Linked DNA regions of Rhinolophus ferrumequinum. The protein of the gene in region 3 interacts with the protein of the main gene of each other region in a pairwise test. Links are inferred from orthologs where the notes say so. Each region holds a gene or a part of one and is shown on either strand. Other genes may lie near its edges.

What was found.
Region 1: the proteins of SORBS3 (region 3) and SOCS7 interact in binary tests that used the Homo sapiens proteins (3 or more experiments, as listed by UniProt). The link is inferred for Rhinolophus ferrumequinum from reciprocal best matches to the Homo sapiens genes SORBS3 and SOCS7.
Region 2: the proteins of SORBS3 (region 3) and EIF3H interact in binary tests that used the Homo sapiens proteins (3 or more experiments, as listed by UniProt). The two-hybrid records come from large-scale screens. The link is inferred for Rhinolophus ferrumequinum from reciprocal best matches to the Homo sapiens genes SORBS3 and EIF3H.
Region 4: the proteins of SORBS3 (region 3) and PAK2 interact in binary tests that used the Homo sapiens proteins (3 or more experiments, as listed by UniProt). The two-hybrid records come from large-scale screens. The link is inferred for Rhinolophus ferrumequinum from reciprocal best matches to the Homo sapiens genes SORBS3 and PAK2.

The regions. Positions count from the first base shown.
Region 1 is NC_046304.1:35,402,348-35,409,831, reverse strand, and holds the start of SOCS7 (suppressor of cytokine signaling 7), read right to left. Parts: upstream 3,003-7,484; 5' UTR 2,803-3,002; coding exon 1,832-2,802; intron 1-1,831. UniProt on the Homo sapiens protein: Substrate-recognition component of a cullin-5-RING E3 ubiquitin-protein ligase complex (ECS complex, also named CRL5 complex), which mediates the ubiquitination and subsequent proteasomal degradation of target proteins, such as DAB1 and IRS1.
Region 2 is NC_046297.1:55,676,792-55,684,537, forward strand, and holds the start of EIF3H (eukaryotic translation initiation factor 3 subunit H), read right to left. Parts: upstream 3,015-7,746; 5' UTR 2,980-3,014; coding exon 2,848-2,979; intron 1-2,847.
Region 3 is NC_046301.1:43,963,352-43,971,190, forward strand, and holds the start of SORBS3 (vinexin), read right to left. Parts: upstream 3,016-7,839; 5' UTR 2,722-3,015; intron 376-2,721; 5' UTR 324-375; coding exon 222-323; intron 1-221. UniProt on the Homo sapiens protein: Vinexin alpha isoform promotes up-regulation of actin stress fiber formation. Vinexin beta isoform plays a role in cell spreading and enhances the activation of JNK/SAPK in response to EGF stimulation by using its third SH3 domain.
Region 4 is NC_046285.1:50,985,069-50,992,527, reverse strand, and holds the start of PAK2 (serine/threonine-protein kinase PAK 2), read right to left. Parts: upstream 3,011-7,459; 5' UTR 2,759-3,010; intron 402-2,758; 5' UTR 225-401; intron 1-224. UniProt on the Homo sapiens protein: Serine/threonine protein kinase that plays a role in a variety of different signaling pathways including cytoskeleton regulation, cell motility, cell cycle progression, apoptosis or proliferation.

The DNA.
Region 1 (7,484 bases), on a different chromosome or scaffold from region 3:
TCTGTCCAACCAACATGCTGCCTCCTAACAGCAGTCAACCAAACGTTCGTACACAAATATCTAGCTCTTCTCCAATTCATCAGAAAAGCCCCTGGACCAAAAAATGTAATTCTCCAGTGCCCTGAACTAAGCTTTGCAGAGCAAGAGCCCAATTTGCTCAGCAGCAGCAATCTGTATTGTGCTTAGTGGGAGGGTTGGTGACAGAGCAGCCAATGACCATTAAATTCTGCTTCCAAAGGCAAAAACCCGTATAATGTTATATGACTTTTCCTCTTCCTAATCTATTAGATGGAGCAGCTAATTTCACGCCACACCTCATATTTGGCGGTTCTAGAATCTTAGACCAAGTCCTGGTCAATATGGAACAAAGGCAAGACAGACCACAAGAAAATTAGTAATCTATCCTATGTCATTACCCACAGCTTCAACCCTGCCCTCCCCCATCGGATGAAAATTTCATCTATGTATTGGTTAAGCGGAGCATCGAATGCAGAGCCTACAACAACAAAAAAAGCTGTTTTAGCAGCCACACACTTTTCAAGATCTGAGCATGAATTCACTGGGAGGCAAATGCAGAAACACAGTTCTACCAGAAAGGGCACCACGCATCAAAGGACTGGTTTGTTTAGGGAGTTTGGGTTTGATCCGATTCAAGATGAGTCCCTGGCACAGATGTTCAGAAAGGGTAGCAAAGCCAACCTGCCCTCACACTTTCCTTTTGGAGCATCCAAACTCCCGTGAAAAGAGAAGGCCATGGGTGAATGGTTCCCAGTCCAGGTCACACTTCAGGATCAATGGGGGAGCTTTTTAAAAATTCAAATTGTTGGGCCATCAGACATACTGATCTTTTCCCCAAAGCTCCCCACGTGATCCTGGTGCACAAAGTTCTCAATTTATTCATCTACCTGTTCTTCAGCCTTGGGCTGTGTCTCAAGAATCTATCACATGAGCTGCACCAAAACCACTTCCAATCTTTCTAAGAATCCATTCAGCAGCACCAACTACAATGGCAGTTACCACAAGGGAAGTCTCCATTTATGGACACAGAAGTTGACAGCTTTCTAAATCAATAAACAGATCTAACACTGGAGGGTCAGAGAGCAGTGTACCCTTCAGCAACGCAGGAAAACTCGACGTCTAAGTTTGGAAGTTTCATCAATTGGCCAGAACTCATGCACCAGTGCCTATCTATGCCTCACACTCTCACATGGGCTTGAGAGCAAAGCTATTTTCCATGCTCACTGACAGCGGTCAGCACACAGGATTGAGATGCCAAGTACCTCTAAGAGACCAATCAAGAAAACATCAAAACTCAATAGAGAGGCCCAATTGATTGTGGGCCTGCAACTGCACGAGTTCCTCACATCATTTGTATGCATCAGTGTGAAAGAGGTGGGATGCTGGTAACAGAAAGAGTAATAAGCAAGGTGGCCAAAATGCAACACCAATTTTTTGTCCCAAAGACCAAACATTTCCAGCAACCTCCCTGCCAGGGGTAATGGTAGAGAGACATCTTGCAAAAACTTTAAAAGCTGGGCCAGGGGAGGGGAAGGGGAACGGTTTCAAATCATCTCTGAACTAGAGAGATGCTAATAACCAGCTGACAAGTGTCCCAGGGAGTGGACTCTTAGAGTGAAAGCTGTCTCCCATAATTAATTAGCTCTGACCTAATGAGCTATGTCACCACCTTTAGCCCCAAGTCTCTGCCTCCTTATGAAGGCCATATCATAAGAACTGTCAGGATCTTGTTAGCAGAATAAAAGGGAAATGAAACAAGAAAAGGAAGTTTGTCAGCCAGCCCCACCCCCACTCACCCCCCAGCCAGTCTCACCTCCCCGCGTCCAGCTCCCGGCCGGCGGAGCCTCCCACGTCTGTCAGGCTCGCAGCTGAAGCAGCCAGCTCTCCAGAAGGCCTCTTGCTGGCTCCATCCCCACCACCAGTGCCACCGTTGCAGCTCTTCGTGCGAAAGAGGCGACTGAGGCGGATTTTGAGGGAGCCCTTCCGCGAAGGGCCTGCGAGTGGCCGGAGGGGTCCGGGCGGGGGCGGGGGCGGGGGAGGCGGCTGCTGCTGCTCCCCTCTACTCAGGCGCCCTGGTGGCACCAAGTCCTGCAGCGGTAAGGGAACCAGGGGTAATTCGGGGCCTGGGGGCTGCAGCAGAAGCCGGCCGCCCCCTCCTCCTCCGCGGCCCGGGCTGCTGAGCTCCTCTTCCGAGCAGCTGTTAGTCTCCAGGCTCTCGGCCTCCGATTCCAAGCCCTCCAGGACTAGCAGCGCGTCGCTCGTTTCCGTGGGATCCTCCCCGGCCTGCGGGGCGGCAGCAGGCGGTTGGGGCTGCGGAGGGGACGGCTGCGGGGGGCACGGGCACGGGCAGCAACCCCCACCGACCGTCTTGACCGCCGGCCCCGCCGGCTGCCCGAGCCCCAGAGCCGCCAACTGCGCCTCTAGTCCAGCAGCCGGGCCCCAGGTCCGCTCGAGCGCCAACCCCGGGGGCAGGGCCTTGGGGTCCAGGGCACAGCGGTGCCGGGGACACAGCAGTTCCGAGGGTCCCGGCTCCGGGGCCGCCTCGGCGTCCTCCTCCTCCGGCGGCCGACCCACGTTGCGGAACACCATCAGCTGCGGCGGCCGGGAGCCCCGCGGACCCGGCCGCGCGAGGAAGGGTGGCGGCGGGGGGCCATGGCCCGGGGGCGGCGGCGGTGGGCCTGGCTCGGGGGCCGCCTCTCCATAGCCGAGCAGGCGGCTCAGGACACGGTACGAAGCGGCCGCCGCCGCCGCCGCCTCGCCATCCCGGAGCTCGGGCCCCTGCATCGGAGAGAGGGAGGGAGGGCGGGCGGCTGGGAGCCGGGCTGGGGTGGGGACTAGGCCGAGCCCCGCCGGAGCCCCGCCCGCCACGGGCCCCGGAGCGACAGCGTTAACGGCCGCCGCGGCCTCTGCCTCATAGAGGGGGCGGGGGGCGCGCGGAGCCCAGCGCGAGCCCAGGCCGCGCGCCGCCGCCGCCGCCGCCGCGGAGGACCGCCCACGGATGGCGTCACTTCCGGGAGGCGATGATCACGCCCCTTTCCTCCGGGTGTGCTGGCGCGGGCCTTCACGGAGCGTGACGTTACGCGCGGCCTGGGCAGCTATTGGCCGCGAGCTGCTTTTCGCCTGGTTGTTGGTCTCCTGCCCCGACCCTTGCTTTTCACTTCCCGGGCGCTCAGGCAAGAGCCAGCCCTCCGGGTAAGATGGAGCGGCCCTGGGAAGCGCGAACTGGTCCTGGGAGAGCTGCTGGCTTTGGGAGTTACTCTGGTTCTGGTCCCGCCTGTGCCGCTTGTGATGTGTGACCGTGGCCGTGTCATTTCTTCATTGACAGACTATCCCCCTGGCATCTAGTGAATATTTAGGTAATGACATATGAATAATGTATTCTAGACCCAGTGGTGTGCTGATAAATATTGGACAGCTCTGGGGAAAAAGGAAAGGGGCGTATGCATATATACTGGTACATACGTTTATCAAATTTAACTGATGATTTACAAAAAATAATATACAATTGAAAATTCCACGTAACCAAGAGATTCTCACAGAATACTTTCCTTGATGTTTGCCTCTTGAATGGGTTTCAGTTGACCAAGGAGTATAATTATGACAAGAATGTTGGTTACTATTTTCTTCTATGTCAATGTAAGAGGAAAGTTCAATTTTGGGAGTGACTTCTTTGCTGAATCAGAAAACAGTTTTCAAATACTGAAAGAATATGTTCTCAATTTTTGTGCAATCCACAGTGTAATAGCTGCAGAGGTCAAACATTAAATTTAAATCTGAATAATGAACATTTTCTCCATCACATTCTTAAATCTAGATAATCAACAAAACAAATCAAGGTCCTGATTTGTAGGGTTTGCCAATTTCCATGGTGTAAACACTGCCTCCATGGTAATTTCAATCTACCAATCTGACTCTACTGAACACGAAGTTAGAGGTGAGCAATAGCAAACTGTAATGTAGTAGTTTCATCATATAGAATAACAACCCCAAGAGCATAGGTAAATAGTGAAATTATTAAGTGATGAGTTTTGAGAATTTATTACCTTTGTCTTTAATATCACTTATTTAATTATAAATTTGTATAACTTAATTTTTAACAGTGGCTGTGTTTAACAACTGGCTTGCAAAATTCCTGAAATTTTAATAATTGGCTTTCAAAAGCCTGTCTGAACCAGCTCCGTAGTACTGTAGTTTTCTCATCTGCAAAATAGGGATAAGGATTGCTCCTTTGTTTATTTGCAGACATGTTGTGAAGATCAAATAAGATCAAGTTTGTTGTGTAGAGGAGGTTGGACTGGAGGCAGGGAGACCAGTTAGGAAACCATTGCAATCATCCCATGAAAAATATTTAGGGCTGCAAGGGACAAAAAGGAAGGAGCAGCCAGCAGAACTTAGCAACTTTGGTACCTGAGGGTGCATCGAAGGGAAGAGGGTGGAGCGTCTACTATGAGTCCTGCAGCCAGAGACACCTTTTTAAAATGGACATTTGTCCACAGTCCGTGATTATAATGGTTTCCCGTTTTTCTTAGGTTAAAGACAAAACTCTTTAAAGAGCCCTCTGACATCCCCATTTTCCTCTCCTCTGCATTTCCACTAGCCCTGTGTCAAGCTTGCCACATGTGGCCATTGCACAAGCTATTCCCTTTTCTTAAAAGGCTGTTTCCCTCTCTTTTTGCTCAATAAACTCCTATGCATTCTTTAGGTTGAACTCACTGCTCTCTACCTCAAGGAAATCTCCCTGCCTGGGCACTTCCTTCTCACCAAGCCCCAGGACCACACTCCTTTGTTTCACTTAATTGCATAGATGTAATTTATCATTGATCTGTGGGGTTATTTGATTAAAGTCTGTCTTCCTTACTAAGCTGTAAGCTCCCTGAGGGCAGGGGCCACGTTTGCCCATCAGGGACTCTCCAGTGCCAAGGACTGTGCCCAGCACAGAGTCGACCCTTGATAATAAGCATGGAATGCTTATTCAACCTCACACCGTGTTAGAGGCTCCTGAAACAAATTCATCTCTAATTCAGCACAACAGCATTAATATGCTTCCTTGCCCATGGAGAAACTGAAGCTCAGTTATTCACCTAAGATCACATAGTTCAGAAAGGTACAGTGGTATTCAAAACCAGCTCTGACTCCAAAGATTTTATTCTCTACCCTCTCTCCCTCAGTTACCTCTCAGAAGTCACTCAGGTTTCTGGACAAATGAGAAACTGCTATAGGATCACAAAACACCTGAGTCCTAAGAAGACCACCCAAGATCCCTGGCTGTGTCTGTAAAACTGGCCGGTGAATGCAAGGTCTGTAGCTCTGCAGCGCCCTCTGCTGTCCAGCTACTTTTTTGGCCCCAGAGGGAGACTATGTCCACCACCTGGGATGTATCTCCACCTGCCCAGAGCACACAGAGGCACAGGAGAATGCACACATGCTCTTTCTAAGGCAGGTTAAGGAATGCTGCCTTTCTCCATGCCCTTAAATGTCCAGATCTGTAGCCCAGATCCTAGAAAAACCATCGAAAAGTAAGCTCCAAGCAAAGGAAGTATATCTTTGTATGAGTTGGATGGGTGTGTGTTTGTTGAGCAGGTTGTGTGTCCACACAAACCTTTTTCACTGAGGGCTATATAAGTAGTCCCTGCAGTGGGAGGATCCTAGTTTAAAAGGTTTGTGAAGAGCAATTCAGAGAGTCTAAACCAGTCCTGAGGTTCACTTAGTCATTCAGCAGTGAACCAGGCTTTGGGGGTGCAGTGATGAGTGAGTTAGGCCTCGTTTCTGTCCCTCTGGAGCTTGCCATCTAGTTTGAGTCCTAATCATGCCATTTCCTGGATGAATGACCAAGAGCAAATAACTAAACATCTTTGAACGTGTGTTTCATTTGTAAAATTAGGTCAATCATAATTCGCCCCTCATGCAGGGCTGTAGCGAGGATTAAATGGAAATTTACATGTGAATGCTTAAACACTATACAAATGTTAGTTGTTATTATTATGAAAAGCTTCTTGGGGGGAAAAAGACAACTTACTATTATGTATTCACCCAGTGTGTTTTGTTGGCCTTCATCTAACCCACCATAGCTGATAATACGAAGAAAGTGGAATGGGTCACTTGCCCCCTCTGTCCCTCTCTGTTAGCACACAGAATGAGACAGGCCAAGGAGAGAGCTGTGGATGTGTGACACAGGTCTGACCTTATGACCACTCACTGGCTTTGTGGCTTTGAGAAGGTCACTTTGCTGACATTCAGTTTCAGTTTTAGTTTCCTTCTCCATTAGAGAACTGTCTGGGCTGTAGGCATTTCTAGTTCTGACACCCTAGGAATTCTGCTGGAGGTTTGTCCTCTAGCCCTCTTCTCGTCCTCCCACCCCTTACAGTCCCACTTAGGGTTCCAAAGCAGGATTGTTTGCAGAGGCCACCTGTAAAGCAAGGGAAGTTTTTAGCAACCACCACCCGTCCCTTGCTACTCACACTCAGTGACCTGGGACATCAAAGGTTATGGGGGAGGAGAATAGAAGGAGCCAAAAGACAGCATGTATATATGGGGCCAGATTGCGGGGTGAGTGGGGAGTGCATCTGCTATGGAAAGGTGATGGACGAGGGAAGGGGAAGAAGGCAGGGGCTTTGTTCTGTGGCTGCCTGCAAGAATCCACACCCTTCTGATCCAGGGAGGCTGCCTGAGATGATGCTAACTCTGGGGCTCCAGTTATCTTGTCCAACAGAGGGAAGGGCAGAGCCATAAGAAAACCGGGAAGAGCCAGAGGGCTTAGGCACAGGTTTCACAAAGAAAGAAGACAGGGCTTAGGATGACAAAATGAAGGTGGAAGCAGAGGCAAAACTTTGTTCATTCTCTTCTCCTTCCCCATCCTCCCCCTACCCCTTTGGCTGTGGTTGCTGCTCTGTGGTGCAGAAGGAGGGGTCCCCTGGTGGAGACTCCCTTTCTGTCACAAAAAGCAGTGTGGTCCCAGGGAAGTCCCCTCGCCTCTCTGGGCTTGATCTACTCCTCCTTAATCCTTAAGGTCTCTGAGGTTGAATAACACAGTGGTGGTGGTGGTGGGGAGTCAGAGCTCAGGGTTTGAGTCTCAACTCAAAGTGAGCAGCTAGGCGATCTTGGGAGAGTCTGAGCCTCAGTGCCTGCATCTGTGAAATGGGGATAGGAACATTCATCATATGTAGTTGTGGGGAAGATTCATTGAGATAATGCACATGAAAAACACTTTATGAACTGCCACAGTCTGTACAAAGATTGATTATGGTTACATTAGGCTCTTTCCCACCCTCGCCATCCCCAATCTCAAATTCCAGTTTGGCAGCCTGGTGTCAGAGGGGTGCAGGCAGCCAGAGAAGACTGCCAGGAGATGCAGCTTTGTCCTTTATCATGCCCCTCGCAATTGCTGCCAGGAGGCTAAGTGGAGCAGAGGGTGGAGAGAGGGGCATGGGCTCATCTGCGGTTGCTATGGCGCCCCATCCTGGATTTGC
Region 2 (7,746 bases), on a different chromosome or scaffold from region 3:
TCTGGAAGACCGTTCAAGTTCAGAAATGTTTGAAAACAGCCGACAGCTAGGCCTTGGGATCTTGCACTCAGCGGAAGCTGTGTAACATGTTCGACTTCCAAGAAAACCGAAGCATTTACTTCCAGATTTACAGCGTTCGTAAACCGAAAGGTTCATCAACGGAGACGTTCGAAAACCGAAGTACTACTGTATATGTATACATATTACTCAAGACACAGGAGAACATACTATGATTTAATTCATATTTATTAATATAAATAGGCAAACCTAGACAAGTTGTTTAGGAATACACTGGTAAAGCTATAAAGAAAACCAAGAAACCACTGAAACAAAGCTCAGAAGAGTAATAGGGTGGGGAGAAGGGATGGGAGGAAAGGATGAAACAGGGAAAGGGGCTTCAAAGATATTTGTAATGTTCTATTTCTCAAACTAAATGGCAGGTGACTGGCTATATTGTGATTATTGAAGTTATGTATTATAGACACTACTTTGCATGAATGATATATTTTTGACTTTTTTTTTTTACACTTTGCTAATGTTATGAATGATCTTTTCAAAAACTAAGTTAGGAAATAGGTGGTGGCAGATTCTAATAGCAGTGAATTAAAGAAACAATGGAAGACGACCAATATAGACGATTTGTAACCACTGACTTCAAGAGGAAAAAAAGTGGGGATTAAGAATGGAACAGAGAGTGCCAAGAAAAGAGACAGAGTTGAACATTTTAATATAGGAAAGTCCTGACAAAGGTAATACTAAAGATAGAGGAAATGATGACACAAGACCAAAGGTAGGAAAGGTTCAAGAATACAAGAAAAATTGGTCTTGGCCACTATCAAGGTGCCAGGAACAAATGAGGTTAAACATTAGGTCTACCAAATAGTTGTGTGTGGCTAGAATGCACAGTTCCTAGGAAGCCTGGAAAAACTAGGAAATAAACCTAAACACAAAAAGGAGGACAACATCTTGGTGGGCCTTGAACTCAATGCAAAATCACTGAAAACATTTCAGGAAGGAAGTTAGTAAGATGTGAACTTTCACATTAAGTCAATGTTTTAATAAAAGTATGAAGGATGGACTGAAGAGGGCTAAGACAACAATCCAAGGTACCATTAAAATAATTGATCAAAGAAAAGCATCAGGACATAAACTAATAGCAGTACAAAAATAAAATGTAATCTTTTATTCATTCATTTATCCTATCTATGTCAGTGAACAGGCTCAGTATTGGGAATTACAGGTAACAAAAGCATAGTCTCTGCCTGCCCTCAGTAGCTCTCATTCTGGTGGGGGAGACACACAGGACAATTACAGACAGTGGACAATGCAATGAAAGAAATACAGGGCGGTGTGATGGAGAGTGACGGGGGGAGGCTACTTCTAACAAGGTTGTCAGGCAAAGCCTTTCTTGAGATGGTGTTATTTGAGCTGAGACCTACAGCATCAAAGGAAGCCACCAAGAGGGAAGGAATATTTGAGAGACTATTTCAGACAGAGAAAACAAAGAACTGAAAGGTCATTGTGACTGGAGCCTAGAAAGTATGAGGTGAGTGTGGAGAAAGAGACAGGAGTAGCAGGACCTTGAAGACTGTGGCAAGAAGTCTGTATTTTATTTTTTAAGTGGATATGGTTGGTGGCACACAGATGAGAAGCAGACGACTCTGATGTATTTTGAAGGTGAAACCCCAAGGATTTGCTGAGACTGGATGTTGAGGGTAAAAAAAAAGAATAAATGCAGGTGAATGCCTAGGTTTTCTGACTTATTCAAATGGGTAGATGGTAGTTCTATTTATTAAGGTGGGAGAGACTGAGGTAGGACCAATGAACGGGAGAGACGAGTGAGGGGAAGAAGTCAATAATTCTATTTCGGACACGTTAAATTTGAGGAGCCTATAAGATATCCAAATAGTGATGTCAAGCAGGCAGTTGGGTATTCAAGAGTGGCATTCAACAACCAAATCTGGTAAGAAATATAAATTCAGAATATAAATACGGAAAGCCACCAGGAGGGTCCTTAAAGAGAGTCTACTACTATAACTACGACAAAAACCAGCAGCAGCTAAGCGGAAGTGGAAACCTACTATGTCCCAGACATCGTGCTAGTTATTGACACGTTCAGCCAATTTTAATCCTCAAAACAACTCGGATGAGGAAAATGAGGCATAAAGACATTAACTTGCCCAATGTCACTCAGCTAATTAGAGGTGGGATTCAAACCCAAGCAGTGTGGCTCCAGAGGTGTGCTTTTAACTACAGTCCTTGGTTACGGTATGTCCAGCAGAGACCAGATAGAAGGAGGCTTAAACCCAAATCCTGAGGCACTCCAACATTCACAGATGGGGAAAGAAGAAACCAACATAACAGATGTTTACTCCAATTATGCTGTTTCAGGTAAAGCTCTGAACGATAGGCTCAAACGTGACTACAAAGTCAATCTCCCCTTGGGAAGTTACAGATGTCATACTCCAGCAGGGAAGCATTCGTTTACCTTCCTCTGCCCTCCCCAAAGCCCTAGAGTCCTAGTTCCTTCTCGACAGTTCCGTCACCTACTCGTCTTCCAGAGACGTCTTTCTCCAAATCCCCTCTGCCAAGCATCACAAAAGAAGACCCCAAGAATCTGTCACACACACACCCCCTTCGCCTTGTTCCCTCTATTTCCCCGTCAGATGGCACAGAAGGCTGTGGCGTCTCCCGATCAAAAGTGAAGATGAAAAACGAGGGTTTCAGCGGACAACTTTGGCCCAGCCTCACCGAGCCTAGAGGAGAAGCTGCCGGGGAGCGCTTCAGGCGGGACTGGCGTGGGAACTATGCTCCCACGTGGGCCGGAGGAGACGGAACCCCACTCACCAAGCCATCTATCTGCACTTGCTTCACGGCCGAATCTCCGGACCCGCCTTTGCTTTTGCCCTTCCCTGCCGCGCCGGCAGTGGAGCTGGAAGAGGTGGTAGCAGAGCCGGTGCCTTCCTTGCGGGACGCCATCTTTCCAGCCGGACAGGAAGAGAGAGAAACGTGAGTAATCGGAAGCGGAAGTACAAGCGATTCGTGACGTCGTGCGCAGTCTGGCGTTCGAGGGGCGGAGCTGGGAGAAAGAGCTGGCGTAGGGCCCCGCCTCCCATCTTTGCCAGCCTCACCTCTTTCCCCACAACAGAGTCCTTTGCACACGCGCATTGTGCGCTTGCGGCTTCCCCTTAGAGTCCTGTAAGAAGAAAGTAGACTTTTAAAAATGTTTTCCACTTCATGTTGGCAACTGATCATAATAGCATTATAGATCACATTTATATAAGGTCTCATGCGTAAAAATGCTTTCACTTCTAATTTTTTGATTAATCCCCATTCCCAATCTTATAAACCATGAACTGTATTAACTCCCATTACACTTATTAGGAAAGTGAGACTCGATTTATCCAACATCATTCTGTTAATTAGCCCTAAGCGGTATTGCAGTTTGTCTTATGTAATTTTAGATAGCGGTCTCTACGTAGATTATATAAAAATTAATTAAAACAGAAACTTTGATCACAATTACCAGAACTAATAGCCCTTTGCTGCTATTAGTTTCATGTAGGATGTACATAAGTACCAAGAAGTTGTTTTATGTGAAGTGGTGATGTGGAACATATTTTCTAAAAATCATGCTGACTTATCTAACACAGTTTGAAATACACATCTCAAGTCTTTAAGAGAGTAATTTGACAGTTTTAGAAAACCATCTTAGATGAATTTAAAACATTCTCCACTTCCAAATACAGTGCCTAGTCCTTATTTTTGAAATGTTTACTCATTCAATAAATACCTAGGCAGAACCGATGAAGTGGTTATACCAATGAAGGCTATTTCTTGCCCTGAAGATTTTTTATTGTGAGGGTCTGGTGTTATATTACAATCTGAAAACAGGAACAGTTACACCTGACAAAAATTCCTAATGCTACAAAGCAAAAAGTTAATATCCATTCTTTTCAAGTGCTCATGAAATTTTTATCAAAACAGACCACAACCTGGGTCACAGGGACCATCTCAACAAATTTTGAAGTGTTGAAGGTTGATTATAGTAGAATCACACTAGAATCAGTAAAAGAAAGATAGTCAAAAAGAAGAAAAACGAAGAAAATCCATCATGGAAGAACCAGAACTGGAAATTAGTGCCTATCATTTGGCAGCCGGAGTGATGAGCACCAAAAAAGCAGGTTATTTACAAACAATAATTATTGTTTTATCCTACAGCGTATATAACAGTTTTGTTTCAAAATTAGAACGCCAATATTACCACTAACAATAAAACTGGTAAGTAAAGTTTAAAGTTTCTTTGCAATATTTTTGTCCTTGGAAATATCCCACTAAGATTTTCCAGTCATGTGTGCTAATCACACTATAGGTTCTTTTAACCTGACCCAAAAAAGTGCATGTGGGCCTTCTGCTTGAAATAGTCCAGAGCCAAGAGGTACAAATACAGATGGTCCCCACCTCACAATGGTTTGACTTATGTTTTTTGACTTTATAATAGTGCAAATGTGATACACATTCAGTAGAAAGCATACTTCAAATTTTGAATTTTGACCTTTTCCTGGGCTAATGATATGCAGTATGATGCTTTCTTATGAAGCTGTGCAGTGTGGCAAGATGCACCTCCCAGTCAAGTTTATGATCACGATGGTAAACAACCAATACTCTACGATGTACGGTGTTGCCAACATCTTTTGGATATTTGGCTATTGAGCACACTTAAGATAGGCTAGACTAAGCTATGTTAGGTAGGTGACGTGTATTAAATGCATGTTCGGTTTAAGATATTTTCAACTTACAATGGGTTTATTCGGAAGTAACCCCATCACAAGTCAGTCCAGGAACATCTGAACAGAGAGAGGGAGGGACAGAGGAAGGAAGAGAGAAGAAGACCCATGAAGTAGAATTTGAAATAGAAAATCAATATGATCACCCTAACTGGAAAGGGCTAGAAGCAATGTCACTTCCTTCACTTGGTTTCCTGGTTTCCTTCCTATCTCACTGGCTGTTCCTTTCTCAATCACCAACTGCTGATTTCTCTACTCTTTCCCAGCCTTTAAATATTGAACAGCACCAGATTTCAGTCCTTATACATCTTTGTTCCCTTATCTTTATTCCCCATCATGGTGATCTCATCCACTCTCAAGGCTCTAAACTTCATGCATATGCTGATGATTCCCAAATTTATATTTCCTCAGACCTCTCCACTGAACTCCGCACCAGCATCTCCATCTGCTTATTCAACATTCCCAGTTAAATGTCTAATAGGCACTTCCGACTTAACCTTTCCAAAATTGAGCTCCAAATACTGCCGACAAAAAGAAATGTTCTTCACCCAGTCTTCTCCCCTCTCTTTTAATGACAGCTTTATTCTTCTAGTTGATAAGACCAGGACTCTTGGGGTCATCTTTCACTCCTCTGTTTCTCTCAACCACCCACCCACCTACCCACCTCACCCCATCCATCAGAAACTCCAGTAGGCTCAATCTTAAAATGTATGCAAAATCTAGACTTTTTCTGTGGGAAGAAGAAAAGCTATTTTTTCCTACTCCTCCCAGTAAGTAGATACGTCTACATCCCTGGACATTGCATATAAAAGAAAAATAAGAAGACTCTGCAAGGTGGAGGGACGAAGGAAGACTGGCTGGGGATGTTGGGACCCAAAGAACAACACAGTGGTGATTTCCCAGGGTTCCTATTTGCCACATACATCCCATACTTGGAGCTGAAGTCCAGCAACATGGAAACATCAAGAGGCACAAACAAAAACAAAACCCCCAGCCAAAGTCTGTTCGCTGTGTGCACTGTCAGTGGAGACCACGTAAGGAGTTTGAACGTTCACCCTCACCAGACAGCAATGAAACAGCAACTTCATCCCCCCAATGGAATGATGTCAGAGAAGGCCTAGTGGAGAGTCAGGATTTTACCACAGCAGTAAGGAGGCCACCCACCCCATGAAGGAAGCGTGGAGAGCAGTAAGAAGGCACTCCTACCCCTTCCATCCAGAAGGTATTGGTGGAGGCCTACTGCGAGCTGGAACTCCTATCTCCCACCAGTAACGGGAAACTATTCTTGCACCTGAGGGAGTCAATGGAGGCTGAACAAGGAACTTCTATTTGCTCCCTCATAGGGCAGTAACAGGAAGAACTCCCTCCTTCCATTGCCAGAGCTGTGTCAGAGGAAGCCAGCTAAAATAGAAGGGCTCAAAATCCAAAGTTCCTGAACAGAATACACAAAAGTCTATCAGGAAGATTTCAAACTGAATGAAAAAAAACAATCAATAGATGCCAACACTGAAATGATAGAGATGTTAGAATTGTCTGAAAATATTTTAAAGCAGCCACCATACAATTACAAACATACTTGAAATGAAATTTCAGCAAGGAAATTGAAAGTCTCAGCCAAGATATAGGAAATATAAACAGGAACCAAATGGAAATTTAGAACTTAAAAAAATACAGTAACTAAAATGTTTTATTTTTATTTTATATTTATTTTATTTTTTTAACTCAGTGGATGGGCTTAACAGCAAAATGGAAAGGACAGAGTAAAAAAATCAGTGGATTGGAGATGGAACATAAAAATTACCCAGCCTGTACAAAGAGTAATAGAATAGAAAATGATATAGCCACTGTGGGAAAGAGTATGGCAGTTCCTCGAAATATTAAACTTAGAATTACCAAATGATCCAGCAACTCATGTCTAGGTATGTACCCAAAAGCATTGAAAGCAAGGACTCAAACAGGTATTTGTATACCAATGTTCATAGCAGCATTGCATATAATAGCCAAAAGGAGGAAACAACTCAATGTCCTTTAACAGATGAATGAATAAACCAAATACAATGTATACATACAATGGACTATTATTCAGCCTTAAAAAGAAACAAGAGTCTGATACATGCTACAACATGGATGAAACTTGAAAACATTTTGCTAAATGAAATAAGCCAAACACTAAACAACAAATATTGTGTGATTCAATTTATATGAGGTATCTACAATAGTCAAATTGGTAGAGAAAGAAAGTAGAATAATGGTTACTAGGACCTGGGAAGAGGGAGAAATAAGGAGTTATTGTTTAATGGGTGTAGAGTTTCAATTTCGGATGATGGGAAAGTGGGAATTGTTGCACAATAATGTGAATGCATGTAATGGTACTGAATTGTGCACTTAAAAAGGTTTTAAATGTTAAAATTTATGTTACTTTACCACAATAAAAAAAAAGGGGAGGATTGAAAAAAAAATCCACAGAGTCTTAGGGAACTGTGGAACTATAAGAAAAAACTGTAGCTGTCCTGGCATGGAAGTCTCACGAAGAGAAAAGAAAGAGAGCATGGGTTAAAGGTATTTGAAGAAATGATAACTGCAAATTTCTCAAATACTAGGGAGAAAGTCATAACCTACAGATTGAAGAAGCTTGAGTGAACTCCAAGCAGGATACATCACACCAAGACATATCAGAGTCAGGCTTCTGAAAACCAAAGAAAAACTTTTGAAAGCAACCAGAAAGAAACAACACCTTACTTATGGGAGAAAATCAACTAGAATGAAAGTGGATTTCTCATCAGAAACCACGAGACCAGAAGGAAGTTGCATAATATTTTTAAACTGCTAAAATAAAAAGAACTCTCAACCCAGAAACCTGTATTCAACGAAAATATTGTTAAAGAATAAAAAGGAAATGAAAACATTTTTGGATGAAGAAAAACTAAGAGAATTTGCACTAGCAGACCTGCCCTAAAAG
Region 3 (7,839 bases):
CAGAAGGTTCTGCAGTAGGGAGGGAGGGATGGCTGCCAGGGCACAGTCATACCCCATGCTGAGGGCTTTGGAGCCAGCTTGACCCTTTTGCAGGAAGCCAGCGAGAGCTATCTTCCAACCCCTTCCCGCCCTCCCGTCCTTTCATCTTTGTGCTCCACACCTGTCCTGCAAGGTCCCCACCAACTAGGGGCCCACAGTCACCCTCTCTCTTGTTCACTCACCCGTGTCCCCCGGGAGGATGACCCTACGTGGGCTCGGAGGTGGCCAGGGATGAAGTCATCCAGGCTGAGCCCAGCTGGGAGGCTGCAGGGTGGGGCCTGCATGCTTGGGTCAAGGTCGGAGGACTCCGGGTGTGCCAGCTCCTCTGCAGGTCCTCTGTGGGGAAACAGGGAGGAAGGGAAAGCCTGGCTGGGCCTGGGTTGCCTGTACCCTCAGGGTGGTGGAGGAGGGGACAACTGTGGGAGAGGGTCAGGGCCAGCTGAGTGGGAGCTCCAGGACCCAGGAAACAGGCCACTGCGGGCACCCGCCTGCAGGCTGCCAGTGCCGGCTCCCAGAGGTACAATGGGCTGCTTGTTAGGCCCTGGGCAGGAGCTCCGGGTGGGAGTGGGGGAGGGGAGACCGGGCGAGGAGGAGGGGAGGCTGGCCAGGAGCAGACCTGCTGGACAAAGCCTCAGGCGGGCCTGCTGGCCAGCCCCTCTGGGGCTCTCACTGCACAGTCAGCCCGCTCCCCCATAGGGAAGGCAGAGGGAACTGGGGCAGCTGGCAGAGGAGGCCTGGGCACTCGGGACTTTGTTTCACTTCCCTCTGCCTCCTGCCCGTCCCTGTGTGAACATCCCGTCACCAGCAGGCACAGGGGTTCCTCAGGCCCAGCAAGAGGCCCTGGGCAACAGCACGGCTGCCCACCCGCTGCCCAGAAGGTCCAAGGATCCAGGGAGAGGGAGAGCGTGGGGGCGTTTCCAGGCAGCAGGAACCACTCCTTCTGAGCTCAGAGGAGTATCAGCTCCCTTTTTGGGCCTCTTTGGCTCAAACTGATGCCTCAGAGGGCTCAAGGTGCCAGTGAGGGGTGGGGGCAGAGAGCGAAGCAGTGGTTAAGAGCAATGGATTCGTGTGTGGAGGGGTGGTGCTGACACACACACACACCCCACTTTTTCCTACACCTCCAGGCTGTTTTTTCAACAGAGGGTCTTCCTGAAAGCAGCAAATCTGACTGATCAGCTGGGTTCTTTTGCCCCATGCAAGTCAGGCAGCCAGGAGATGGAGGCAGTGGGGCTGCCAACCAGGGCTTTGCCTCCCAGAGAGCGGTGGTAAGAAGCTGGTTGCTCCTCTCCTCTGCCGTTGCACTGAGCCAGAAGCAGAGTCAACCTTCGCCGCCTTCTGGGGCTCTACCAATTCTGGCATTTTTGTTTCCTTAGGCTTGTGTGTGCCTGTGGGGTCTGGGGGCTCACGGGAATGCAGCAAGGGCCTTGTGAAGTGCCATGTGTGTGTGTTGGAATGTAAGGGCAGTGCCGTGAATGGGACTTGAGGGGGTACCACGGTGTGGGGGCATGTGAATATCAAGGGGATTGTGGGTCCAGAGGAGTGTCAGCTATCAGTGTGGGGAGGGTGCAATCATACAAGCAGCACAAGAGTTATAGAGACCAGAGGGGATGCAGGTACAATAGAGGCTGTGGTTACCCAGCCCCTGAGCACGCTGGAGGGTATAGACAAGGCCATGGCAATTCCCTGTCTCTGGTCTGAGTGGGGATTCCTTCTGACCCTTGAAAGGCCTATTGGGGACACAGCTTTCCTGTGCCCACCCCTGGCTCTGGGGGGAGTAGAAGGCTGAGGCTAGAGGAGGGACAGTGCACCAGCTGGATTGAATTAGGACTCCTACCAAAAGCAAAACATGCAGACACACCCCAGTTCCTGAGGCTCTCTCTCCCCTTGCAGGGGAAACCGAGGCAGAGGAGAGTGGGAGGCCAGAGGGTCTAGGCCGGGAGCAGGCTGGTTCCTAGCACCACGCCCCTCCCTGCCCAGCTGACTGCTTAAGGCCAAGTTTCGAGGTCAGCACCAGTCTTTTCTACCCGTCAGCTGACCCAGACTCCTTCCCTGCCTCTATCTGTCCCACCCTGCTGTGCTCAGTGAGAACAGCCCACTAGCAGTAAGGAGAGGGCAGGAGGTTCCCTTACACCACTTGAGTTTTGGGGGTGGCTGATCCTTGGGGGCCCAGTCTGGCCCTCCCCAAGCTGCTCCTTGTGGCACACCCCCAAGAGACATGCAAGAGGGTGGTGGGGAAGGGCGGGCTACATTTTTCTCCCTGCAGCCCCGCCAGAGGAAATTGGTCCTGCACCTGGCAGAGGGCAGAGGGTGCCAGGAAATCTCGGGGGTCCTCCCAGAATTCACTCTGGCTGTCCTTCACCCCAGCAGCCAACTCTAAAAGGCTGGAAGAGGTAAAGTGGCTCTGCTGTGGTCAGGGACTCCTTCCCACCTGCAAGTACTGCCCTGGCTTTGGGGGCTCAGCCCTAGGTGTCTTCTCGGGTATTTTCCAGCTATGAGTCCACGTGGACAGGACAGGTTTTCTCCAATTTCACTTTTTTGTTTTGAGGGAGACTTCTCACCTCTTTCCACCCCCGAGTTTGGGGCGAGGACCCCAGGGGGCGGGCTCTGTGCCTTCCCTTCAGGCAGGTGCCTCCCTGACTGCGCCCCCGCCTCCTCTCCGCCCCCTCTTCTCCAGACACCTACCTTCCACGGCAAGCAGGTGGAGGGGACTGAGGACGCCCGGGAGGGCAGGAGCATCTCGGCCGGGCTCCTGCCTGGTGAGGCCGCGGCGGGCCCTCGGGGAGGGAGGGCAGGGAGCGGTCCGGGCTGTGCCGTCCACCCTCGTGACCGGGTCAGGACGGTCTCCGCGAGGCCGGGCGCCCGAGGAGGAAGAGGGATGGACGGGGCCGAGCGCGCGCAGGGAGGAAGGACTAGAGAGGCGGGCGGGCGGCGGTCAGCCTGCCTCCAATCTGGACTGTGAGCCGGGGGCTGGGGGGGCGGGGGCGAAGGGGCCTGCGGGGCGGGGGCTCGGGTCCGCAGCCCCAGCGAGCGAGTGGCCTCCGTCGGGGCGCGCCGCGAGGACGCTGTGGCCCCGGCCGAGGGGGCCGGGCCGGCCGCGCGGAGGCGCCGGGAGGGGCCGCCAAGGTCCCTGGGGAGCACGCTCTGGTTTCCCAGCTGCCTCCCCGGCCCCCACCGCCCGGCTGGCGTCGGGGCGGGCGCGGGGGGCGGGGAACGCCACTCAGAGTTTCCAGCGACATTTCCAGCGGGTGGGAAGGGAGCCGCTGCACGGCGGAGCCAGGACCGAGGGCACGAAGGATTAAAGAGCCGGGTCCAGCCAGCCACTGATACGGAGCCGGCAGCCCGGAGACGGGCCGCTCTGCAGACGGGCTGGTGCCGAGATAGGGCGCCCCAAAAGCGGAGGGGCCTAGCGGACCAAGGGAGGGGCCCGCCACCTCCCCCCGCACTTGGGAGAGAGATTTGGGGCCTGCGTAAGCGCGCGTCCGGGCGTGTGCAAACACACACACGCGCGCGCGGGCGCTGCCAAACCGGGCGATGCTCACACACGTGCAAGCCCCGCGGAGGACAGCCCCGGGAGGAAACCGGCCGAATGGAGCGGTCCCCCGGGCGTGGCGCGCCCCTGAAGAGGATGAGGGCGGCTCCCTTTGGCGGGGATGGGGTGACGGGGTCTTGGTGTTCCCACACACCGCATTTGTTTTGATCTCGCTGCTTTTCCGCTGTTCCCGCTGCTCTGACACCGGTCCCAGGAGCCCGCGCCCATTGGCTACCGACCCCTCTGGCCACCCATCCCTTCCCTCTCACCCCCAGGCCTCTGTGTACGCACAGAGCCTGTGATAGGAAGTGAGGGTGCTCAATGAATGTTCCCTGCTGATGGAAAGACTCGGGAGGGGAGTACTTTTAGTCCCTGGCTCGGTTGGGGAACGCCAAGCCCCCAAACAAACCAATAGCAAAGAGGTATTAGGCAATACCAGATCTATTCTGGGAGTGTTCACTTATAAATTACGAACATCTGAAAACATTTATTGCATAGGTACTGGGTGTAAGATTGGTGCCCTGAGGCCACCATGCACTTTAGAGTGTTTTCCAAGTACATTATTCAACTGAAAAGTTGAGAAGGAAGGGAATGGAGAAAAAAACTCCCTACCATCACTGATGCTATTAGCTTTATCTTTTCTCAATTCAGTGAAAAGGGCGACCTGGGTTGTGGTGAACCAGCGTGAAATAATATCACCAGTGAACAGCACAAAGAGGGGACGGACGTTTGGCTGAAGAGAAGCTGGAGAGAGAGAGAGGATGCTGGCTGGCCTCCACTGTCTGCAGGGCTGCATGTGGAAACAGGCCGGCTGAGCTACCACAAGTGGGACCATTGGGTGCACACGTGGAAGCAGATGGGAGGTTTCCAAGGAAGAGCTTTTAAATGATTACGGGGTTCTGAGTCTGGCCGTTGTGGGGCATCTTTGTAAAGGCACTTAGTGTACTGAGCAGGGAGCTCAATGAGATCCCCTCTAAGGCCCCTTCCAGGAATCTGTGATTCTCCCAGAACACTGTAGGGATGGGGAAGGGACGGTAGCTGCAGCACGGAGGGCTGGTGGCAGGGCATTTTCCTTCCTCCAAAGCTTGGGCACTTACTTCCCCACCCCTTGTCACCATCCTCTTCCCTGCCACAGAGACAAAAGATGTGCCCATTACCCTTGTCACCAGTTTTGTTCCCCACCTGTCACAGTCCTCACGACTAAGAAGGGACACATCGCGTTCGTGTTCTTCCTTGTTCTCCAAAGATGGTGACGCTGAAGTTCTTCCAACTCCAGGAATTCTGGTCATGCCCACTCTCGCCAGCAGCAAGCTTCTCTTATTCTCTAGGGCTCTGACCTGGACTCCAAGATAAATATTTAATGTAGAGGGTGCAGCTGAGCTGACCAAGGTCCCTACTTCCTGTTTCTCAAAGGAAAGTGGCAACCATGGGCAAGGAGCGGGGGACTGGTTACCAGTGTCATCTCTATGGGAATAGGGAATCCAGCAAACAGCTTTGCAGGAGCCACAGTAGGCCCCACTGGAGACCTGAGCTTTTCTCCAGAGCTGTTTTGAACCTCTGCCTGTCTACTGAGGTCTGAGCTCTGCTGGGCTCGTCACCTCTCAGCTCAGAGCCTGCTTTGCCCTGGCACCGGTGGGACTCGTTCTCCTTCCCAGAGTCTTAGGCTATGGGCTTGGCCTGAGGAGAGGCTATAACAGGGTCCCTCCACCATGTTCCCTTGGTGTCCCCCCAGCCTGATAGTATAGAGGATGAGAGATTGTATAGAGGTGGGAGCAGAGAGCATAAGGCCCCTTGACGGACATCTCCCTTTCTGCCCATAGTTAGGGAGCAGAGTCCCTCCTCTTTGAAAAGTGGGAGATTAAAGGGGAAACGTAGCAAAATCCAGAGATTTAGCCAAGAACCAGGTGTCTGATTTCTCAACTCCTTCCTCCAGCCTCAGCTCTACTTGCTGCTGGCCCAGACCGCTGGCTGGTGTGGTCAGGGAGAGCCTGTGGCTAGGGAAGGAGGTCCTAGGTGAGTGTTGTTGTTAACAACAGAGCAGACTCCTTTCATCCCGATGCCCTATCTTCCTGACTCCCTTATCTTCTAACAGGGCCCTCCCTCCCTGTGACTTCCCCATCTCTGGCACTGCCTTTTGCCAGGGGCCACCTCTGCCTTCTCAGAGCCACCTGAGCCATAGTAAACACAGTTACATAACTGCTCTATTTTCCTGGTTATCTGATCCTGGTCGGCAGTACGCCCCACCCCCACCTCCTTTTGATGTGAGGACTACACCCCAAGGCACCCACGTCAACAGAGAGGTCTGTCCACAACCACCACCCTAAGGCGGGATTAGCCAAGAGACTACCAATAGATGTGGCTCTTCCCCAGGACGGGGAGGAGAGGGTGGCTGTTCCTACAGGAATGCAGGTCACTCTGAAAACCAACCTCTGTCCCCCAGAGGAATGGTGAATGGAAATAGCACTTAAGTAGCTTTATATTGTGAGCAGGGTGAACAGAGAATTCAGTTTTATTTCTCAAGTGGGAAAAAGGAAGCAAGGGATCCCAGAAGACATACAGCTGAACTCTCCCGTCTTGGGGAGTGTCTTTATCTGTCGTGGGGAGCCTCACATTCCAATGTCACTCTCAGATCTACCTTGAGCAGCCAAGGGGTACCCTGGCTCTGTGCCTCAGCGCCCCCACACTAGACAAAGGAGGGGCATATGCTATTCCTTCTCTCCTCCTGCACAGGGATAGACTCTGTATACGCTATAGGTAGGCTTTGAGCAGGTTTTTATTTGTGCTCCCAGAGATTGTTCTCTTCCTGCCAGGGGAACTGAGTGAGCGGAGCAGAATGGATTAGCAAAGAAAGCACTGTCCCTTTAGAGGAGTTGAGACTTCTCTAGAGAGAAAGACCACAGTGAGCCGACAGAGAGCAAGTGAAACAATAGTACAAATCTGGACCATGTTTCATCCCCTGGGTTTCATCCTCCTGGGGTTTTCTCTTGATTCGAGCTCCTGCTAATGCCAAATTCTTCTGATGGCCGTCTATGCCAAAACCTCATGGGGACAGAAGCAACAGAAGAGGAACACAAAAGATCCACTAGGAGACTTAGAAGACCCTCCTAAGCTGACAACAGCATGACCTGGGACATCTGGAAACCAAGATTTTCGGTATAGTCACTGTAAAAGTAAGGGATCTCTGTGATGAAAAAATACCCAGTCCAGGTGGAGTAGGGGCCGGGCAGCCAGGCTGAGGGAGCGGATCCCCGTGGGAAGAGAGAATGCGGCTTGCGGGCCTGCCTCTCACAAACGTTTCCACACATACACGTGACGTAACTAGGATCTATGGGGTCGGGCCTCTCAGCGTCAATCACATGGAAATCCCAAAGGTGTGAGAGAACGTGGCCTTTTGTCCAAGTATCTAGTCTACCTTCAAGGAAGCCTTTTCACTAACGTCACAGCCACTCTTCGCTGGCTCTCTCCCTCCCTGTAGAGATGAGCAAACTAGCACAAGGCGCAGCTGGGGTGTCTTTGAGAAGAACTGAGCTGGATGGACCTCTTTTAGTTCTCAGGAAAGAAAGAGAGAGCAAGTGCTTGTCAGCTCTTTAGAAAGCAGATTTTTATAAGGCAAGGATAAATAAGCGATGACCTCAGAGGGAAAACTCGGCCAAGTTAACTCAGCCACGAAAGGCACACAGACCAGGAGCTGGAAAACTAGGTCTGCATCACCCTTCTTCCCTAGTGCAGATAACTGAGCCGAGGACAACGAGAGCGGGGAGTCGTGGGCCAGTGGACACCGCGAGGTCGTGCTCTGGCCTCCGAACAAAGAATAACCTTGTCTTCCCACCTCCTTGAATTCTATGATGAGCCTGCTGATCGCAGCAACATGAAAGACACCGCTACCTCATGTACCACTCAGTTATTAATCCACTGCAGCCAAATGAAACAGACTTTCTTTCTAAAGCCTACAAGTCATGATACAAAAACAAAAAGACCACGCAATGACATATAGCAGCCAAGAAAGTGGGGATTAAATGTAGGTGGAGTGAGAGGTAAATGTGAATTGGCACTTGAGTTCCTAATTTCCAGGCTTAAAACAAAACTGTCTTTCCACAACGCTGGAAATAAAGAGTAAATATTACCTCATTTTACTGAAGGTTTAACTGAGGTGTAAGGACACAGTTAAGTTGGGACGCTATTTATTGGGAAAGGTCCTAAAATGTACACTCAGCTTATTTGAAATTAGAAATCTGGACTCGCTTTCCAGCCTATAAATTGGCCCTTGATGT
Region 4 (7,459 bases), on a different chromosome or scaffold from region 3:
TGCTGAGTACTTTACCTGCATTATCTCATTTGCCCTACATAACCCTATGAAATTTGTTATTATATTATTATTATTATTCCCATTTTACAGATGAAAAAAATCAAGTCTTGAAAAAGAATGTGTATCTTGCCCAGGATCAAGCAGAAGAGCCAGGATTCCAACCCAGGTCTCCGGCTCCTAACCGCCTTAACCACCTGGGGTACGTGGGACAAGCATTAACTTACCTCGGAGATACTAGTAAGCTAGAATGCAAATCCCGTGTGAGTGTTCAGATTGACTACTCTTAATCAGGTTAGTGATCCTAAAATGAAGATGCAGTGTCACTCAATTCTGATCACAGAAGAAAACAATCAGTATTTCTTCATGGCAATAGGAGCTATTTTTTCCTTCTCTTTCTGCTTCTGCCAAGGTACAAGAAGGATAGGAGAGACAACTGAGATCTGTGAGTAACGTAACACCTTCCCTCTGATTAATCTGAAATCAATTAGCCCTCCAACTAACTGAAAGGGCTTTGGAAAATAAATTGATCAGAAACTTGAAGACTTAAAGCCTTAAATAAGGCCCACTTTCAAGTTTTCATCAAAAGTACAAAATATAGAATTCCAAAAGGAACATTGTATTTTAATATTAGAATAATCAATATTGACAGATTAAGCATAGGAAGGATTTAACAGTACCTACTTATTTTATCCTTAGCTATTTGAACAAGATCTCTTTTAAAAAAAGTATAATTGCAAGTTTATCCTTGGCTACCTGAACAAGTTCTAAGTTTTCTCTTTTAAAAAGTATAATTGAAAAGAAATATACACCACTGTTAACCACATCTTGGAAACGGGCCTATCGTAAGCATCAGAGAAACATAGGAACCCCTATTCATTTGTTTAGTAGATATACTCCAACTACAAACTTACTGTCGCTTTATGAATTTGAATTCACAAGGTTAGTATTCAATGTCACAAAGTCCAGAACAACTCTTTCTTTGAATAACTGGTAAGCAGGAATCAAGGCCCTAAGTGAAGCACAATACCCAGGAGCTCTTCCTTAGTAAAAGTATCGGCTTATGGAAAGAACTGGCAGAGAAGCTCTCATCACAGACCAAGTTTCACTCTAACATTACTATATCTTAACACCTTAGGCTAAGCAGACCTCCCATGAAGTTAAGGACAACTGACACTACCAAATGTTGACAGTATTGAAGCTCAGTACTAAGCAATTTTGGTAACAATGTACTATTTAGTGGAAACAAAAAATTCACTGAATTTAGGTTAACCTCTTTCACCAAAACCTGAAAGTGGGTTTAAGACCTCCATATATTACAGGTCAAAAACATTTTGAGGTTCACTTTTCACACCGTAAATCAGTGTTCTTGGCTAATTAATAGGTAGAAAGGTTTAAAAGCCGATGATGAAAGAACTGCCTTAAATCAATACCCTTAACAGAATATACACAAAGCTTTTCATTTATATGTATTTTTTCATATATATAAAATATATAGAAGTGACTACGAGTGTGTTTTACGAATGCCACAGAACTTCTGGCAAAGCTGACAAGTTCTAACCTGCTTTAAAAATTACTATTCACTGCCTTCATCTCAATCTTACTTCATTTAATGTTATTCTTTTGGATAACCCTACAAAAACAAAACCCCCAGAGCAAATTCTTGTATATTTCAATATCCTGCCTACTTATAAGAGCGGAAGAGTCAAACAGAGCAGGGGGAAAAACGTGACGTGCACAACCTTGATCCAAAACACAGCTTCTCGGAGTCTAATTTTAGGCCTAAGCATTTTAATTGTCTTTTTACACAGGTTAAAAAAGAAAACTATAGATCACTTGTGAAGTGGAACTGTGATAATTGTGTCAATGGGAGTTGACAATATTTATCAAGGAGGAAACAAATCACGCTCACACTGCCCAGAGTAACCCCATTAAAATTAAGATACAAGAATGGGCACAACCCCACACCAACTGACAATGGCAATTACTTTTCACACTTCAGTTACTGAATGACTTTATCTTTAAAGAATTGGCCAAAAGTTGAGCCCACGGAGGAATTTGTGGGAGCGTTTTGTATGTGTGTGCAGTTTTAAAGAAAGCCAAACATGGTTAAAAGTCAATTTTCACCTAAATTACCTAAAGAAGCAAATATTCACCTCCTGGCTGAAGATCAAATAAGAATCACGAGAAGATCCGAAAGTTCTGAAGTGGAGGCCCTCAAACCCCAGGAAAACTGTACGTTTTTACTAATGTGAAATATGGAAATTACAGATTATACTTTAGAAAGAGTAAAGAGCCTTAGACAATATGCTTGAGCAGTGAAACGGGATGAACAGAGGGGTAGAAAGGAGGAGCTGGGACTCAGTGAGAGAGGAAAAAATCGGGAAATAAAACTCAAGACGTCTGGTTGAAAATTAAAGTAAACGGAGAAAAAGGAGGAGGTTGAAACGCAACGGAAGGCAGACAGAGACAGGGCAGAATCCGTGGCGACACGGTTTAGGGCAGGGCTGGGTTCAGGAAGAGTGAGACCTCACCTGCCCAGCCAGCTTCCCATTTCGGGCTTAAAACGGAGAAAACAGCCCTAGGGAGCAGACAATGAGCCACCGCCCCAGAAGTCGCGGCTGCAGGCACGCAGGTGGCGGCTGCCCCGGCCCTGCGCGGGGCAGGTCGGCTGCTCCGGGCCGCTCGAGCCTGCCAGGCCGCGGAGAAGGAAGAAGGAAGGAGAGAGATGGCCCGCGTCCCGGCCTGTCTGCACACTTACCCCAGGCGAGGAAAGGTCCCCGCCCCAGCGAGGCGCCTCCGTCCGAGCTCCCGGCGGGGTCCGGAGCCGCCCTGGGCAAGCGCGCGGCTCGCGGCGGGAAGGAGACGGAAGGGGAAGGGGGACGAGAAGAGGAGCCGCGCTGTAGCGCAGCCGCTGCTACCGCTAGGCCGAGCGGCAGCCGAGCCCCGCAGGCGCCGGGAGGGGAGGGCAAGGAGCCTTCGGCAATGGCGACGGCCCCGGCCGGAGGGGAAGCGGAACAACCGCCGCCGCTGCGCGTGGCCACAACCCTGGGGGAGGGCGACGGCGGGGAGCAAGGAGGAGCGAGGCCACGGTACCACCCCTCCCCACCCGAAGCCTGGAGCTCCACGGGGCGGAGACGGGCACCGCTCTCCAATGGGCGGGACTCGCGTGGGGCCTGCTGGGAGTTGTAGTTTGGAGATGTGTACTGCCTCCCTCTCCCTCTCCCTCGTCTTCTAGCCTCCCCCTCCTCTTTTGGTCTTTACATTAAGAGCACGCCAGTCCTTCACTTAATTCAGCATTGTCTCCAGGTCTGTGCTAACCAAAGATGCTGACAGATATTACTGTTACATGAATCTGCTCCAGGACATTTGTTTCTGGGAACTCATCCATTATCCATTTTGCTTTTTACCTACAGACTTACTATTATTTTGCTGCTAAATTGAGCTCCACCTCCTTACAAATTGAAGTGTCCATGTTTTATCCTTGGAGGCGTTATCAATGTATTCACTAATTCTATGAATATTTGAGTGTCTACTATGTACCAAATACTGTTAAGGCATCAGGGATACAAGGGTGAACATGACTCACTTTGCCTTTGTGGAGCTTACAAATATGAAAACACAATAATTAAAATAATGATGTCTGGTATAAGGAAAAAACTGGGGAGGTTTCTTTGGATGGGGTGACCACAGAAGCCAAGGAGGTGACATTTAAGCCAAGAACAGAGCGAACTAAGAGAAGCACCCGGAAAAAGATTACAACCAGAAGGAGGAAGAAAAGGGCTTGCTAAGGTCAGTTAAGAAGGCCTTGTAGCTGGAGCTTAGGGCAAGGAGGACAGTGTAGAATGAAAACATTAGAGCAAACAAGACTCAGGTCAGGAAGGATCTTGAAGGCCATGGTAAGGAGTTTTAAGCAGGGAAATAATGTTATCTGGTTTACACTTTAAGATCACTAGATTGCTATGTGGAGAATGGAATATAGAGATGCAAGAATAGAAGGGAAATGAACTAGGGAGGCAGTAATCATGACTAATACTAGGAAGATACCAGTGGAAATGTATAAAAGTAGCCAGATTGTGCTTATCTAAGATGTAGAGCAAAAAACTTAAATTATATGGAGAATACAAGAGAAAGGAATTAAGAAGAAATATGGCACACTATTACATAACCTGAAAAACAGTCCCTTATTAAACACACAGAAATTCTGGATAAAATAGAACATCCTTTCAAAGGTATAACTAAGTTTCCAAGAAAGAAAAATATATCCCTGATGTCTTTCAAACTCCACAACTCAACCCAAAGAGGAAGCAAGAAACCAGTGTGATGAGTAGGGCACTGAAGCCATGGTGGTGTTGAGGATATCTATTTAATCTCAGAAATCTCTAAGGTTTTACTGGCTGCTCAAGAGACAGGAGACCAAAGATAAGGCCCCGGCCTGTACATGGAGTTAGGACTCTGATCCTGCAAAAGGCTGGGAAACTTAAAGCGCTACATCCTCCAAGAACAGACTTGGGGGAAAAAAGTTCCCTACCAACCCATGGAGACAAGCAAACATTTCTATGTTTTAGCTTGGACTTGGCATGGAGGGGAAAAAATTTCCCTTTAGAATTCATAACCACAAACTTTCCCTCACATGGGTTTGAAAGTTCAAATTTATAGTTCCTACACTGCCCAGGAAACCTCAAGTCAAGAAAGCGGTCCCAAGCTAGTAGTACTTAGAGGCCTGGACGAAACAAATATAAATCCTCACTGCACAGGTTCACTCTCAATCCAGGTCTGAAAGGATTTCCACAGATAAACAGGGTATCAAAAGCTAAACATGAGCACCAAAAATATAATTACAATACACCTGAGTTAATAAGCTAACAGACACCACACACAGAATAATGAAGCACATGAACTTTGGATATTGGAATTACTGGTTACAGAATATAAAAAGTTTATTAAAATGATTAAACAAAATAAGACATGAGCAAAAAACAAGAAACTTTTTTTTAAATGACCAAACAGATTTGAAAAGGAACCAAGTAGAACTTCAAGAAATAAAGAATATAACAATTGAAACCAAAGCCAATGTCTGGATTAAATAGCAGATTACACACAGATGAAGAGAAAATTAGTAACTGGAAGACAGAACTAAATAAATTACTGAGAGCAGCCCAGAGACAGAGGAAATATGAAAGATTAAGAGACATAAGGATAGATTGTGAAGCCTAATGAGAACTCCAGGAGAGAGAAAAGTAAACAAAGGAGCAGTATATGCTAATAGCTAAGAATTTTCCAGACTTGATTAAAGACAAGAACCTTCAGATTCAGGAAGCAAAGTGAATCCCAATCACGATAAGTAAAAGAAATCTTCTCAAACAAAGTGAAACCGAAGAATACCAAAGATAAAACAACCAGAAAGAAAAGACGTACCCTATAAATAAACAATTGTTAAATCTACTGCAGATTTCTCAACTGCAACAATAGGTGCCAGTTGACAATGGAAAAATATTTTCAAAGTACCAAGAGAAAATAACCAAACTTAGAAGTGTACACCTAGCTAAATTATCAGTCATATGAGTGAGGGTAAAATAAATGTATCATCAATCAAAAACAAAGATGTTACCAACAACAGAGATCTACTAAAGGAATTATTTAAAAAGATATACTTCAGGAGGAAAGTATTCCAGAAGTAAGGGCTACGATGCAAGGAATCAAGTAGCTAGCTAAACCCACCATCCTATCACTGATTAGGACAATCCTGAAGAGCATACTTAGTCCATATTATTTCATTCCAACTAATGGCCAATAGCATATTTGTAAGTTTAGGGGATGATACAGACAGGTGTTGGTCACCTCACTCTAATTTCTTTATCTCCATATCATGTCAATCAGCATCACTTATCAAAATATAGATGAGTAGTTTGAAATGAAGTGAGTATCTGACTAGGATAATCCTTAAACTCATTATTTTTAGAAATAATTAGAGCTTCAATAGATGTATCTAGTTCCCAAGCCACATATGTACCATTAACCATGAAATCTACCTACAATATCTAAGTTCCTGGTGGAGTGGCGCGCACACACACACACACACCTGCCCCCCACACTTAGTTGAGGTAATCTGTGTCACTATTATTTTCATCCAAAAGTATGTAACACAATAGTTTAAGAAAAATAAATCATAAAAGTGTAATACTGGAACTTAATACCAAGAGAACAGTACCCACTTTCTTAGCCTTAAAACAAAAAGACCATATAGATAAATACAAAACTGATTTTAAAAAATGAAGTGCTTATTCATTTTTTAAGTATCCAAAGAAGCTAATATAAATAGTTCCAAACCAGAAATGTTCTGTTCTGTTAAAAGTGATGTTATCTGCAACCATTTTTTTACACTTCTGAATATCGGTATAAATGAATCACATTCTAAGTCACCATTTCAAATGTTACTTGGAAACTTGTTGGAGTACTGATGAAATTTGGTTCTGATGTGCAAAAGAATATATAGATTCTCTCTCTCTCTCTGTCTCTCTCAAGAGCTCATACAGTACCATGTTAACCCCACCGATCTAACCATATTCTAAAATGTTGTCAATGTTACTGAATTTTAACTGACACATAATTCTATTTCAATGCCATTATATTATTCCATTGTGAAAGAAATGCTTGTAAAACATGGAATTCTTTCTTGTAAGAAATCACTAAAGATATGAAACTAGACTGGGTTGAAATTTTAGTCATTTTAAAGATGTTGAATATTTCTGCTTTATGGCATTGGGTTACCTTTTTCAATACTTAAGTTCTCCAACACATCTTCAAAAATAAGTGTTATGACTAGTCAAGCTGTAGATGTCAAATTATGGAAGATTTATTCCCATAAAAACAACATAATGTTTTAGGAAATTAAGCAGTAATTACATATGTAAACATGTATCACATCCCATTACTCATTTAAAACAAACAATTCCAACATATCCTGGTTTAATGGCTTCTGTTTTGGGGCACACCTACCCTAAATAAGTTGCCCCTAAATAAATAGAAGGGCATGCCTGCCCTTTTATTTTTTAATTAGCTTATATCACTTACTTTATTTTTTAATTTTTTCCAAAGAAAACCAGTGAATCAAGATCTTTTGTTTAAAATAAGAATCACCTGAAGATATAAAAAAGACTTTTTGTAAATGTACAACTTAATAAAATATACTTTAAAATGACAATCTGAATTGTCTTCCTGACAAATTTAGTACTAAATGAGAAATCTTAGTACATAGTTTCATCAAACCCTTTGTTAATTCATATATTCAAAAGAGTATAAAACATAGGAGAATGGAAGTATTTTAAGGAATAACCAATTTTGATATTAATAATTGCTTAGCTGTTCTACATAATGATTTTCTTTGATTCTCTGGACAATTTCAATATTCTAATAAAATTAGCATTTAAATACTGATTCATCCAAATTATTTTATTCTTAT